2 linked regions of the Drosophila melanogaster genome follow. The protein of the gene in region 1 interacts with the protein of each later gene in a pairwise test. Each region holds a gene or a part of one and is shown on either strand. Other genes may lie near its edges.

What was found. Proteins that work in one complex are often made in the same cells at the same time.
Region 2: the proteins of CG1368 (region 1) and RfC38 interact in a two-hybrid assay, tested with the Drosophila melanogaster proteins (one large-scale study listed by BioGRID).

What each region holds. Positions count from the first base shown.
Region 1 is NC_004354.4:14,171,017-14,178,551, reverse strand, and holds CG1368 (uncharacterized protein), read right to left. Parts: upstream 3,797-7,535; 5' UTR 3,726-3,796; coding exon 3,723-3,725; intron 3,582-3,722; coding exon 3,024-3,581; 3' UTR 2,882-3,023; downstream 1-2,881. Other genes in the region: CG11581 (uncharacterized protein), read right to left, coding at 601-1,605; betaNACtes1 (Nascent-associated complex beta-subunit-like, testis 1), read left to right, coding at 6,082-6,867; CG12480 (uncharacterized protein), read right to left, coding at 7,104-7,535.
Region 2 is NT_033779.5:11,128,432-11,134,322, forward strand, and holds RfC38 (replication factor C 38kD subunit), read right to left. Parts: upstream 2,215-5,891; 5' UTR 1,741-2,214; coding exon 1,681-1,740; intron 1,571-1,680; coding exon 560-1,570; 3' UTR 501-559; downstream 1-500. Other genes in the region: Nup160 (nucleoporin 160kD), read left to right, coding at 1-302, 376-495; CG4751 (uncharacterized protein), read left to right, coding at 2,434-2,772, 2,833-3,190, 3,244-3,331, 3,456-3,625, 3,691-3,939, 4,022-5,891.

The sequences.
Region 1 (7,535 bases):
TTTTTAAGTTGGATTTATTTTAGAATATGAAATGATAAACATAAATCCATTTTTAATGATCCATTGTTGTTGCATGATAAACTATTACTGCTTTTAAGTTGTGGATGTTTTTTTTTTTAATTCTTGTACCATTTTGTTTAAACTTAATTCCATCCAGAAACATATCAGAGTTCAATAAACCTTGATGGTGAATGTGCATAATTATCGTAGGACTTCGGTTTTAGTCCACACCCAAACCACTAATCGTGTTTTTTATTTCAGCCTTTAATCGCCTTGTATTGACTTTTGAAGACAACATAGTTTATGAACACATATGTGTCTGGCCAGGGTATGCATAAAACATAGGTCTGTCTATATATATGTATCAATCACGACGATAGATTGTCTCGTTTATGGTTATCAGTCAGTTTTGGCAAAGATTTCGATTAGCATAGAGACAATCGTTTTGTCTGTCCGCATCTTTATGGCCAGCAGATCAAATAAATGAATAAAAACAAAGGCACAAAAAATACAAGAAAAAAAAAAAACAAAATATGGATCATAATTTATGGCGAACATGTTTGATGAACTCCCCAATTTGGGGCTTCGAAAGCCATCGCATTACTTGGCCCTCTTGTAGACATAGCCGCCATTGGATGCGTAAACCGTATCCGCCACACTCTTGGGATCGTCGGCCGATGGTGGTGCCACTACTGTCCTCTCACTGTCCTTTGGTTGCTCCTTCGCCGGCTCATCGGAGTAGCCCGGCGGAGCGGGTCCTCCGAAACCGGGTCCAAATTGTTGGTAGGGATTCTGGCCGGGCACAGGTCCGCCGAATCCTGCGGGCACATTGAATCCTGCTGGACTGGGTCCTTGGAAGGGACCCTGGGGATTTGTGAGGGGAAGTCCCTGGTTTGTCAAGAACTCCGGTGGATATGCGGATCCTGGGAAGGGCCCTCCCTGTGGCGGGAAGTTACCTCCTAGGAAACCATTGCCCGGTATTCCCTGTGGCCCGAAGGCACCTCCTTGTGATGGGAACACTCCCTGCTGTGGTGAGAAGGGAGCTCCTTGCGTTGGGAATCCATTGCCAGGGATGCCTTGTGGCTGGAAGCCAGCTCCTTGTGGGGGAAACCCACCTGCCTGCGGGAAACCACCTGGCTGGGCAAAATTACCAGCTTGCGGACCGAAAGGACCACCTGGTGGCAGTTGGAAGGCCGCATTCGTAGGACCCCCTGCGAATGCGCCTCCATTGGTAGGACCCGCCGGGAATGCACCTCCGTTGGGATAGGCCGAAGGCACTGGCCCAATACCATGTCCTCCTCCCTGCTCGACAGGACCTCCGCCGAAGCCGTAGAATGGTGGATAGATGGGCAGAGGGAAGTTTGGCGGCTGGACAGGCTGTGGCAAAACGTTGCTGCCCGTGGGAATGGCATAGCCCGGCGGCAGTGGCAGTCCAGTCGATGGATAGAATCCAGATGGATCCTTCTGCACCTCCTGGCCATCAGCAGCAGACCGTGTGGTTGGCTCCAGTTCCGCACTGGGCGGTATATATTCCCTGGGCAGGTGACTCACATCTCCGTTGATCAGGGGCAGAAGTAGGACCACAACGGCCCATGGCTGCATCATCTCGAGCTCCGGTTTGATCTCTGGGAACTTGCACGGCGACGGTGGCTATGCGGCCACGGGCCCCAAATCCGCCATATATAAGACGGCATATCAACATATTACATAAATTCGCGGCCGGCTCATTTCACTTTCGCATTCGGCGAACGGAAATTGCTTTGCATCATCACAAAGGTTCCATAAATAATCGCCAATCCAAAGGTGATCGAAGGTGCGAGGGGAGGTGCCAAAACTGAACTATAAAATTTAATTTAGCGGCCGGATTTTACATAAATAAACTAACGCCGAAATCGAATGTTAAATTCAGCATCGCACAAAGAAAAGAGGCGATAATGAAAAAGATTCAATAAACGAAAAGAAAGAACAATGAAAGGGTAACATTTTATTTGATTTAGATTCAAGTTCTTGCTCAGCTTTATGATGAATATTAAATTTTAAAAATTACTACCTGAAAGCAAAAGGGTGTTAATTAAAAACAGGAAAAACGTCGAGGAGGTTCGTTTTATTTACTGTAATATACTAAATAATGGTTTTGAATGATTTCAAAAAGTCTTGAGTAAATAATTTTTCAGAAATGCCAAGCACTCTCAGAAAATGTATCTGCAAGTCATAGTTTTGAAATACTCAAAAGCTTAGTGTTAAAACTAGGAAAACCATAAAGTTTCATGCTATATTTAAACTAAAAGCTCTTTGAAAATGCTTAAAATAGTCGCAGCTTCCAAGTTTAATCAAAGCTGCAAGCTGTTTATAAAAAGCCCAACTTAATTAAAGCTTTATATTATATTTTTTAACGCTAATACTTAGTTAAAACATTGATGTATGTTAAATGTTTATGTTCTTGTCCTACAGGTTTTAGTGTTAACTAGTCGAAGAATTAAGCTTTTTAATTTTGAAAATTACCATTATAGACTAATGCCAATAAATCTTCTTTACTTTGTATGGACATATCATTCGTATACTTTATTATATTTTTATTGGCTTATAAAGTGCCACCTTTTGTCTACTCTGAAGTATTAAGCACCAACAAGCACTTGCTTTTGACGTTCGATTTTGAAAACGAACCGCACTCAAACCGCATCAAAACCGCAACAAAACCGCACCTAAACCGCAACCAAACCGCACTCAAGTCGCGCGTGGTTTTTAGTACGCTATTTTGGTATCCTGGTCCGGAATTTTGATATAAAGTGAATAGGGATACACTTGTTAAAAATTTTATTAATATTAATATTAGACGCTTGTTTTTATAACTCTGAAACCCATTTTAAAAACAAAAGTATTTATTTGGATTATTGATGTTTCGGTTTATTTCGTTGTAAACAAAAGTTTACAAAACAAAAAAAAAAAATATATGGTTAATTTGGGCAGTATGTAGTTATGGACACTGTTTCGTGTTCAGTTGCAGGCCTCTTCGTTGAAGATCCCTACTTCCTGTAGACGTAGCCACCGTTGGAGGCGTACTGGGTGCCCACATCCACGGAGGGTGCAGAGTAGCTCACCGATGGGGCGGAGTAGCTGACGGCAGGAGCGGAGTACGACTGCTGGACAGCAGGGGCGGAGTAGCTGACCGATGGAGCGGAGTACGACTGCTGGACAGCAGGGGCGGAGTAGCTGACCGATGGAGCGGAGTACGACTGCTGGACAGCAGGAGCGGAGTAGCTGACCGATGGAGCCGAGTAGCTCACAGAGGGTGCCGAGTAGCTAACAGAGGGGGCGGAGTAGGTCCTCTGGACAGCTGGTGCGGAGTAGGTCCTCTGGACGGCCGGTGCGGAGTAGGTCTGCACAGGAGGCAGGTACTCGTTGCTGGGGGCGACATACGACTGCTGGATGGCTGGAGCGGCGTAGGTCTGCTGCACGGCTGGTGCGGAGTAGCTCACCGAGGGAGCGGCGTACGAGCTCTGGACGGGGGGCAGGTACTCGTTGCTCAGGTGGCTAACATCGGCGGCCACGCAGGCGAACAGGGCGAAGGCAATAAGGAATTTCTGCAAGTAGGACAACACACTTCACACATTACAAACACAGCAAATTTTTTAAGCACCGCAAAAAAAAAAAAAATTTTGTCAAATAATATTGTTAAATCGATGTATCCTTGTTTCAAGCTGAACTTGTAATCCTTCACTGACCATCTTGAGTTGAGGTTTCTGCGTTTTCAAGCGACTGTGCTGGATGAGCTAGAGGCTGCGACTGATGCCGGTCCCTACCAGCCGCCAGTCAATTTATAGCTGCCGGCCGTCTTCGAAGAAAAGCCCCGGTTTTGGAGAGCCCGTTCCAACTGCAGCGGTGGCACACCGGCACTAACGGCAGACGCCGGGCAAGAAGAAGAGCAGGCTTAAGCGGCCAGCGGACCAAGAAGAAGCCGCCGCAAAAGACGTCACCATGAAATCAAGACAAACAAACGGCTGACTGGTGCTGAGGGGCTGAGGGGACATAGCCACATAAGTTGGCAGCTAATTGTGAAAACTGTTAAAAAGTTTAAGTATTTTCAATTAAGAATATGCTTCACTTATAATTGTTTATGTACACCAGACCGTTTGCAATGTTCAATTAAGTAGTAGTGGTAGCACAATGCAAAATAAGTAATAATATAAAAGATTTAGATACTAACATTTGAGCTAATCACCTATTTACAACTTAAAACTGCCGACTTGTTAAATATTTACTTACTTCTTAAAAACTGAGTTTTGAAAAAAAAATGGTAACTTGAAACGTTAACTAGCATAGATCATTGGCAGAGCTTACTTAGTTAGATGGTTTTGGCAATAAAATGGCTAAAATGGCAACACTAATCAGGGCGGAGGTTAAAAAGCATATATAGGGAGGGGGCTGGCTAAACTACCAAACGGAAAATCACATTAAAATTAAATTCAACATAAAAATCGAACGAAATCGCACATGCAAACGGGTTTGGCTCATTTACGATATTATATTTTTTTCCATCCACGCAACGGGTTTGCGGCGGGTGAACTACTTTGGGACACCTTTTTGTGGTCTCTTCAATCTGGCTTATTAGCGTCGGACTCAAGGGGAATGGAGGGAGGGAGGGGGGGGGGGGGGGTTTGTGCCGCACAAAGCCCAAAAAAAAGGGGGAAAAAAACTAAGGGGGTTCCACTAATTAACATTCAATTTAACACATTATACACCGGAGCAACCATTTTTCTTGTTTCAACCGCAGAAATGGGCCGGCGCACAAAAAGAGATCCATTTGGCCTCGTTCGAGACACTCGCCCAGATTGATGGCCCCCACAGAACGTCGTGTTTCGAAAAACGGAGCCCCACTCGCACTTTCTAAAAACCCATAAACACACAAAACCCATCAGTGGAGACCGACAGAAGATGGCCTTGAGAACAGACGCCGGCCGCCAGAGTTACGAGTTCCCCAGCGGTCTTTACATAATAAGTAACAACTTTTACTTGCTGCCACATCTCGAGCGTCTTTCCACTGTCCGTGAACTTGAAATGCAGCACAGCCAGAAATTTACAATTCAATAAATTTTTAGCAAGACCTTTGCAATTTTTGAATTAATATTCAAATCCATCAAACGTATTGATTCTCTTGCAACATTGTAGCATAGAAACATAAAGAGTAATTTTTTAAGATTATCTATGTATCATATTCGCAAGGTGGGTAACCTATTGACGATTTATAGCCCGTTCACATATGATTCGCCTGTGATTCGCCTGTGTCAATAATTAAAATCCATTTTTATATCGATTTCATTTATGATCACGTTGATGAATTATCTTCAAGTGTAAAAAAGGCAGGAAATGTCAAGCATGACGATGCCAAGCAAAATGTGATGGAAATTTCAGAGTTCATTGGTGATAACTTAACTTAACCATGGCCATTCTGAGAACTGCAAACAGTTATCCTTTTCAACAAGAGGTAATTAATGTTGGAAAATAGTAATTAATATTTATATATTAAGTACATTCATATTTCAACTTATAAATAAAATAAAGTTTCGATCTGGAATTGTTAGTATTAATTTTTTAACTTAAAACATACATTTTCCGAAAAAAGAAAATATACACAATAAAAACTATATTTCATAAAAATGATAAAAAAACATGCATAGTTAAAAGTTAATATTTATATGTTTATGTTTAATGCAAAATTGATTACTTGAGGCACGACGTGCGGTCATCTGCACCTAAGAATCGATGTCGACAATATCTACTCTAGATATTTATATATTCGAGTCTAGAGTTCCCATCTGCAAGGACATGACAAAGCTCTGGCAACCCTTTTAGCACGTGTCAAAAACTCAAAAAAAAAAGACGATGACTTTGCAGTCTAAAAGTCACATTTCTGATTTGGCGTGAGGACCTCAGTTGATTCACATCTCCAAGCGAATATTACTTAATATTATATTAATTAATATATTAATTTGTAAAGCACAGCATTTTCAAGGTGAGCATTTCAAGAGAATTCTTTTCCACGCACTTTACCCATACAAGTTAATAGGTTTTCCTAACGAAACAATGGATTTCAAGAAGCTGAAGAAAATGGAGGAGGTGGTGCGCATCGGCGGCAAAGGATCTATGCGCCGCAAGCATAAGAGATTCCCATCCTCGGCTGCGGCCGAGAAGCGCGTGCAAGCCACATTGGCCATGTTGCCGTTGAAGAATATCGACGAAATCGAGGAGGTGACCATCGAGTTCACCAATTCCAGTAAGGTTGTGTTAACCATGCCCAGGGTTCAGAGCACCGCTGGCAATTCTTTCTTCGTGGTTAGTGGCGATTTCGTGCGCAAGTCGTCAACAGCTGGCCCATCGAAAGTGGCCAAGGCAGCCAATGCGCCCAAGGCACCCATGCCACCTAAGCCACCCAAGCCGGAAGCTTTTTCCGACAAAAAGCCAGAATCAGAGGAGTCCATTAAGGTGGCCAAGAAGCCCAAGAAGCCGCGCAATCGTGTTCGTCCTCGCAACAAGAAGGTCCAAATGATGCTCTCCAAAAACAAAGAGGACGCAGCCATGGCTGGCTGGGATTCGGAGCCGAAGCTTAGCAATGGTAAACCAATTTTGATCTCCTCTGAAGATGGCAGCGATCCGGATAATGAGAAGGTGCCATCGGATGAGTCTGATGTGGATCGGACCATAGTCTGCGACAAAGATTCGCTGGGAAGCTTCGGCGATGATTCCGACGGCAAGGAGGACGTTGACACTACGGAGTCGATCTACCTGTCCTCCTACTCCAATTACTATTATTTGACGGAGCAGCTCTATCCAAATACTTATCGCGTTCAGGTCTCAGAGGACGAAGATTAGGCATATTCATTTGTTGCTACATTTGTACCAATTTCAAAAATAAATCGTATGAATTGAGAAAGTTGAGACAGAAAAAGGTTCCATATTCTATAGATTTGTACTTTAATCTCTTGGTGTTTATTGAAAGCATTGGTTTTCTCTACACTTATGGAAATTTTAATGATCTATAGTTCCAAAATAAAAAAAAGTTATAAATTTAAGATTATATTAGACTCTGTGGCTCTCAGTTATTTGTCTTAGTAAATATAGCCGCCGTTCGACGCGTACTGGGTCTCCTGGACGGATTTGGAGTAGCTGGCCTGCAAATGGGCAGGAGTAATGGTGTCGGCACCAATGGCCACGGGCACATGGGTATCGGGATTGAACTCCTCGATGCCATTCGATGTGGGTTCCTCGTACAGATGGGCAGGTGTGATCGTGTTCGCTCCAATGACGACTGGGGTTTGTCCCTGGACATAGGCGGCGATGGGTTGGGCGCTCTGGTAGGAACTGCTAGACGATCCGGCCACGATTGTCTTGGCCTGGCTATTAACGTAGCTCGTCTGGGAAACGGCGGATTGATAGGAACTGGAATCTGCCCCAGAAATAGCAGAGGCAGCGGTTGAGGCTACAACCGACTTTTTGAGTTGAGCTGGAGTGTATTCAGCGGGCTGGTAAGAGCTCGAATC
Region 2 (5,891 bases), on another chromosome or scaffold:
AGAGCGTGGTTCAAAGGCTTCTCGGGTTAAACGCCTTCTTGCCCCAGTGGCTGATAAACTCCTACAAGTTATCCCACTCCCGGGAACTGCTCCACTTACTTGTGAAACACAATCGTCTGCTGGAAGCCGCAGATCTGGGATGTGAAATAATCGCCGGCATGCTGGGAGCAGGTAGCGAGTATTTCGAATTCAAACACGCGGTGAACATAGCAAACCCACAGCTCTGCTTCCCCATCAGCACGATCGATTTGCTGCTGCACGGTTTAAAGATTAATGGCAAGGATGATCTTGATTATGAAATGGTAAGTCATACATATAAATTTCGTTCTACTCAAAATACATTCCAATCATATTCCAAATCTATTCCTATTTTAGGCTTACTTTAAACTCGAAGAAGAAGTTCAAAGATATATTGAGACCATAAAGCGCACCACCGATGATAAGATGAGCATGGCCGTTCTGCAGATGCGAACGGATCTTCAGGAAGAACGTTAATAGTTCGTTTAAATCAGTTTATTTAATAAGTTTTTTGAATTAAATGCTAAAGCGTGTAAATCGTTTAAAAATCATCCGTCATGTCCAGCTCAGAAAGGAACTTTTTATAGATGTTCATAAACTGAGCGACGAACGCTTCAAGATGAAAAATGTGCTTGGCGCCGGACTGCATCCGGTGCTCGTACTCGGTGGCGAACTCGAGCGTCTTTGCCTTGATGGACATATCACAATTGTTAACCAGCTGTTCGACCAGGCCGCGGAATATGAGATTAGGTGGAACGCCTTGCGTGAGTAGCTCGTACAGGCGTTCGCGGATCTTCTCCAGTTTGGCAGGCGTTTGCTCACTGATAATCTGAGATGCTGTCTCACGCAGGAACACCTGCCAGTCCAGGTCGGGAATCTCCTGATTGGCGGTAAACGGCGCCTTGGCCACCTTGGCGGCCTCCAGCATCAAAAGTGCTCGCCTGAGATTGCGCTCCGACTTGTCCACAACCCGTTTGGCCAGCTCCACGGGCAGTGCGAGTCCCTCCCGCTTGCAAGTGTTCTGCAAGATGGACACGATCTCCGTTTCGTTGGGAGCCGCCACCCGTATGCCCAGGCAACGCGACCGTATGGCCGGAATGATCCGAGATGTGGAGTTCACCGATATGATTATCCGGCACGTGGCCACATATTTCTCCATCGTACGGCGCAGGGCGTGCTGGGCATCCTTGGTGAGTTCGTCGCCCTCCGAAATTACAATCACCTTGAATTCCCGTTGGCCACTAATCTCAATTTGATGCGTCTGGGCCACCTGCTTGATGAGATCGATCACCACCGTGCGGTCGTACATGCCAGCGTCGGAGGGATTCACCTCCAAGTGGTAGTTGCTGCTGACCGTCATCACCTCTACCTTCCGATTGGATGGCGTGGTGAATGTCATGGTCTCGCTCCTCAACCGCTCAACGCCGGATCCGTACATCTCCCGTAGCAGGCACATGATGCGTGTCTTCTTGCCAGCACCCGAGGGTCCGTAGAACATCAGATGAGGAAAATCGCTCTGCTTGCAAAGGTTGCGTAGGTTCTCCGCTTGATCCTGCATCGAAATTAGCAAAAATCATAAAATAAAAAACCTTTTTAAAAAGAGATACTTTAATATATGGGCCAGCTATATAGATGTATGCGCCGGTTTCCTCGCTGATTTACCTTGTGGAAGTCCAATTTGGACAGCTCCCGCGGACGGTATTTATCCACCCAAAGTGCCATTTCGTTAACGCATGTAAAATACGATAGTAATTGGATGTATTTTAAGTTACTTTCTGACCGTAAAAGTAATTTAACAAAACAATTTAATGCGCGCCTTTTCCGCTGACTATTTCTAGTAATGCTGCAAGCTTCGATGTTTTTGATGATTATTGTCGATTTCTACGCTGTGATATCGATGTTTAGAGGTTTCATTAAATTTGCCACGCACATATTTTCAAATGATTATTTCGGCTTGAATGATTTAAAAAATTAAATACTTTAACAGATCACAATTAAAATTAATTTTAAAGTAATATTATTACATTTACACTGTTTTCGTGCCACGACTAAAACCAACGATAAAACAAGTAAAATTAATGGATTTCAAAATAAATGATTACGAAAATGCCTAAAAGACTTGAACTCTTTTATGATAAATAAACATTTGAAAACAAAAACATTTCTTGTGTTTCTGTAATAAATAACCGATTCAATGCTTCTCATGTTATGTATGGCAACGCCATTCCTCCGTTTTTACCGGTTAAAATTGGACCGCTAGCAAGTGTGACCGTGGGTTGGCGGTTTTAATGAGTTTCGGTATTCTGGGTAGAAAAAGCAGCTACCTTACTGCATCCATCAGTTTTTTTTCGCAAAACTTAAGTATCTTGGAAGTAAAATATCCGTAGAATTGCACAGAATTCGCGACAAGAACGCATGGAGAACGGAGTGGAACATGGTGTGGACGAGTCAGGCGAGAACCAGGTGCTGAGCAGTTCCGATGGCGAGGGAGACTGTGATGGTGACGGTGAAGTGGAGGGGGAGGTGCTGCAGCCGCCGCCGCCGCCGCCACTGCAAATAACAAACGATTGTGTTGGCGAAGGGGTGCAAGCGGAGGAGGGGGAGCGTGCACCAGCGACGACCGGAGCTGTGGACGTCACTCCGGACCCTGGGCCACCGCCCACGGATGGTGCAGCACCTGTAGCCATACTGGAGGACAACATGTGCGACAAGGATGTGGATAGCGATGCTGGCGACGAGGACAACGACGATGAGGTGAGCGAGATACCTTAAGCTTTTTGAAAATGTATAATATTTTCTATTCAAACCCTTTAGACCAAGGAGAACTACGAGGGCTTCAATGGCACCGGACGCACCGTCACACTGCAAACGCTGATGGCTGCCAATGTCCTGCAGCCGGGCCTGGGCTTAATGACTATCGAATATCTGGGCCAGAAGTTCGTTGGCGATCTACTGGCCGACGGTAAGATCAAATCCCATGAGACTGAGACAATATTCCTCACGCCCAGCGCCTGGGCAATGCACTGCAAGCGGATCATCAATCCGGACAAGAAGAGCGGCTGCGGCTGGGCCTCGGTCAAGTACAAGGGAAAGAAGCTGGACGCCTACAAGAACACGTATTTGCGAAAGTGCGCGTTGCAAAAGGAGACGCCGCTAGATGATTGTGAACTGGGTAGGTAAAGCTCACTTGCTTTATAATCCTTGCTAATTCCATCGAATCCATAGATGCTGAACGCAAGACTGACACCCCGGAGATTGTCGTCAAGCGAACCGTTTTCGCACATAATACCGTTTCGAATCGCAACGTAGTACAGTGAGTAGACCAAATGCGTACTGAATTTTGAGGGGGGTTGGTTCTTTAAAAGAATAGTCTGGCTTGCTTTTAGTTTAAATCTATATGCTGGATGGTATTTTAATCCAATTCTATTTATCCACAGCGACGCCAACATGTTGATTGAATCGGTGCCGTTTACTTCGGTGGGGAAATTGCAGCCCTTCCTCATTACAGTGAACTCCTCTGCCCTCTTGCTGGCGGATTTTCACTGCCACTTGACGGTGCGTGAGGTGTGCGGCTATCTAGGTGGCACCTGGGACATGAACACACACAGTGAGTCCGGCTCGGCTTGCGATTTATACTGCATAGGCATTTTCTACATGTTTTTTTCATTTCAGCTCTATCCATCACAAAGACATATCCTTGTCGCAGCACGCGCTTTGATCGACAGCGAGCCGGCGAAGTGGAGCGTGATATTCAAAAGATGATGATTCAGGATCAATTGCTGTTGGTTGGATGGTATCACTCGCATCCCAAGTTTCAGGCGGAACCTACGTTGCGCGACTGCGATGCACAGTTGGACTATCAAATCAAAATGCGCGGTGCCAGCGATCTCACCTATACGCCCTGTGTCTCCCTAATTATATGTATGTGTTATCCAATGGCCTTTTAAATTCTGCGCAAATACTTCATCTCAGCCTTAATCGAATAATACATTTTATCTTACAGCCCCTTACTACGATGAAAACCCTACCCTGGAGTCGGTGGTCAAGTGTATTTGGATTGTTCCGCCCAACGAGAACAGACAGTCCATGGAGTATGGCCGTCCAATGCTGATGCAGTATTCGGTGCTGCCGGACAAGGAGATACCCGAGGAGGTGCGCTCTGAGATACAGCTGTGCGTGGACTACTACTCGCAGTACCGGAGCGAGATGGTCAAGTTCCGGAACATCTATAACAACGACGTTACCTACAACGAAAAGCTGAAAAACACACTCTACCCAAAGTTTCCCTCCAAGCAGAGCGATAAAGCGCTCTGGAACTGGATATGTGCAGTGCTGGATTGTGAGCAGGAAGACGACTTCATTCCACCCAAGACTATCAAGATCATCGACAATGATGACCTGGAGGTTAAGGAGGAAGACAAACCTGTTGTCCTTATGGATCTAAGCGGGGATGTCAAGATAAATCCGCCTAAAGAGGAGCAGTTCAGTGAAGCTATGGGTGGTTTGGAGGACAGTGGCCGAAAGGCGGAGGAGGAATCTAACGCACAGGCGGAGCAAAAGGCAAGTGAACTTAAGGTGATGTCCCTTCAGGAGCAGCTCTGCATGCCGTCCGGTCTAAATATGAACCCCGTGCGGATGCTATCCCCTCTGGCCACGCCCAATCCGACGAGTCTACCGCCAGTGCTGCCCAATTTAGGAGCTCCAGTTTTGCCAGCAACGCCCAGCCAGCTGCTACCACCCCAAGTTCCCGCAGTTACTGCGCCACCTGCCATCACACCTGCAGTGACGACTTCGGCCCTGACCTCCGCTTTGAATGCCTCGCCCAGGGACAGCCCAATAACTATACAATCGAACTCCGCCAGTCCCGCCAAGTTTGAGGTTCCAGTTAGGGCATCACCGTCGCCCGCCAAATCGGATACCTCGTCACACGCATCCACCTCCCGCACACGCAACTCGCCAGCGCCCAGTCCGGGCAAGTTTAGCGTCAGCGATATTGCTCGAAACAGCCCCAGCATTACGCCGAACAAATATGAGGCAGCTGCAGCAGCTTTGGTGCCTCCAGCTGCCGCTTGTCTGCCCACGGCCAATGATCTGATGGCTGCTAGTTTGGCTCAGTTGGCGGGGCAGCTTCCTCCGAACTTCCTTCAAGGCGATTTGGCTGCGCTCTTCCAGCAGCAGCGCAAGGATTACGGCAGCTCCTCTCTAAACCAGTTGGCGGCGGCAGCAGCCAAGGTGGGTGGCTCTAAGCAAAGCAATGCCTCTGCATCGTCCGGTTTGAATGACCCCAATGTGGCAGCAGCGGTGGCTGCCTACTCGAATAGCTTCAATATGCCGCTGCCCACGGGTGTGGGAATCGGAGGCAGCGGAAACAGCAACGCCCATAGCAGTAGCAAGTCCAAGTCGGAACGATCATCGAAGTCCTCGTCCTCATCCTCCTCCTCGAACTCCAGCTCAACTTCCAATTCGTATAAAACGAAATTGATGAAGGAGCTGGATGAACTAAAAAACGATCCGTTAAAAATGAGCGAGCTCATCCGGTCTCCGGAATATGCAGCACTACTCCTCCAGCAGGCGGAAGCCCTCGGAGCCACCACCCTGGGCACCTTGGGCTTTGGATCAGACTACAGCTATCTGACAGGTGCCGGACTGGGAGTGCCTGCTGCTAACGCTCTGACTGGAGGTCAATCCTCAAACTCATCATCCAGCAAGTCCTCGAAATCTTCGCCAGCAGCAGCGGCAGCAGCTGCTCTCAGTGCCGACTACAACAACCTTATTCAGGCATCAAAATTGCTCGGCTATGACTCCTACATGCAGCAAAGTAAGCAGAGCAACGACCTCAACGCGTTCCTGCAGCAGCAGATGGCAGTGGCAGC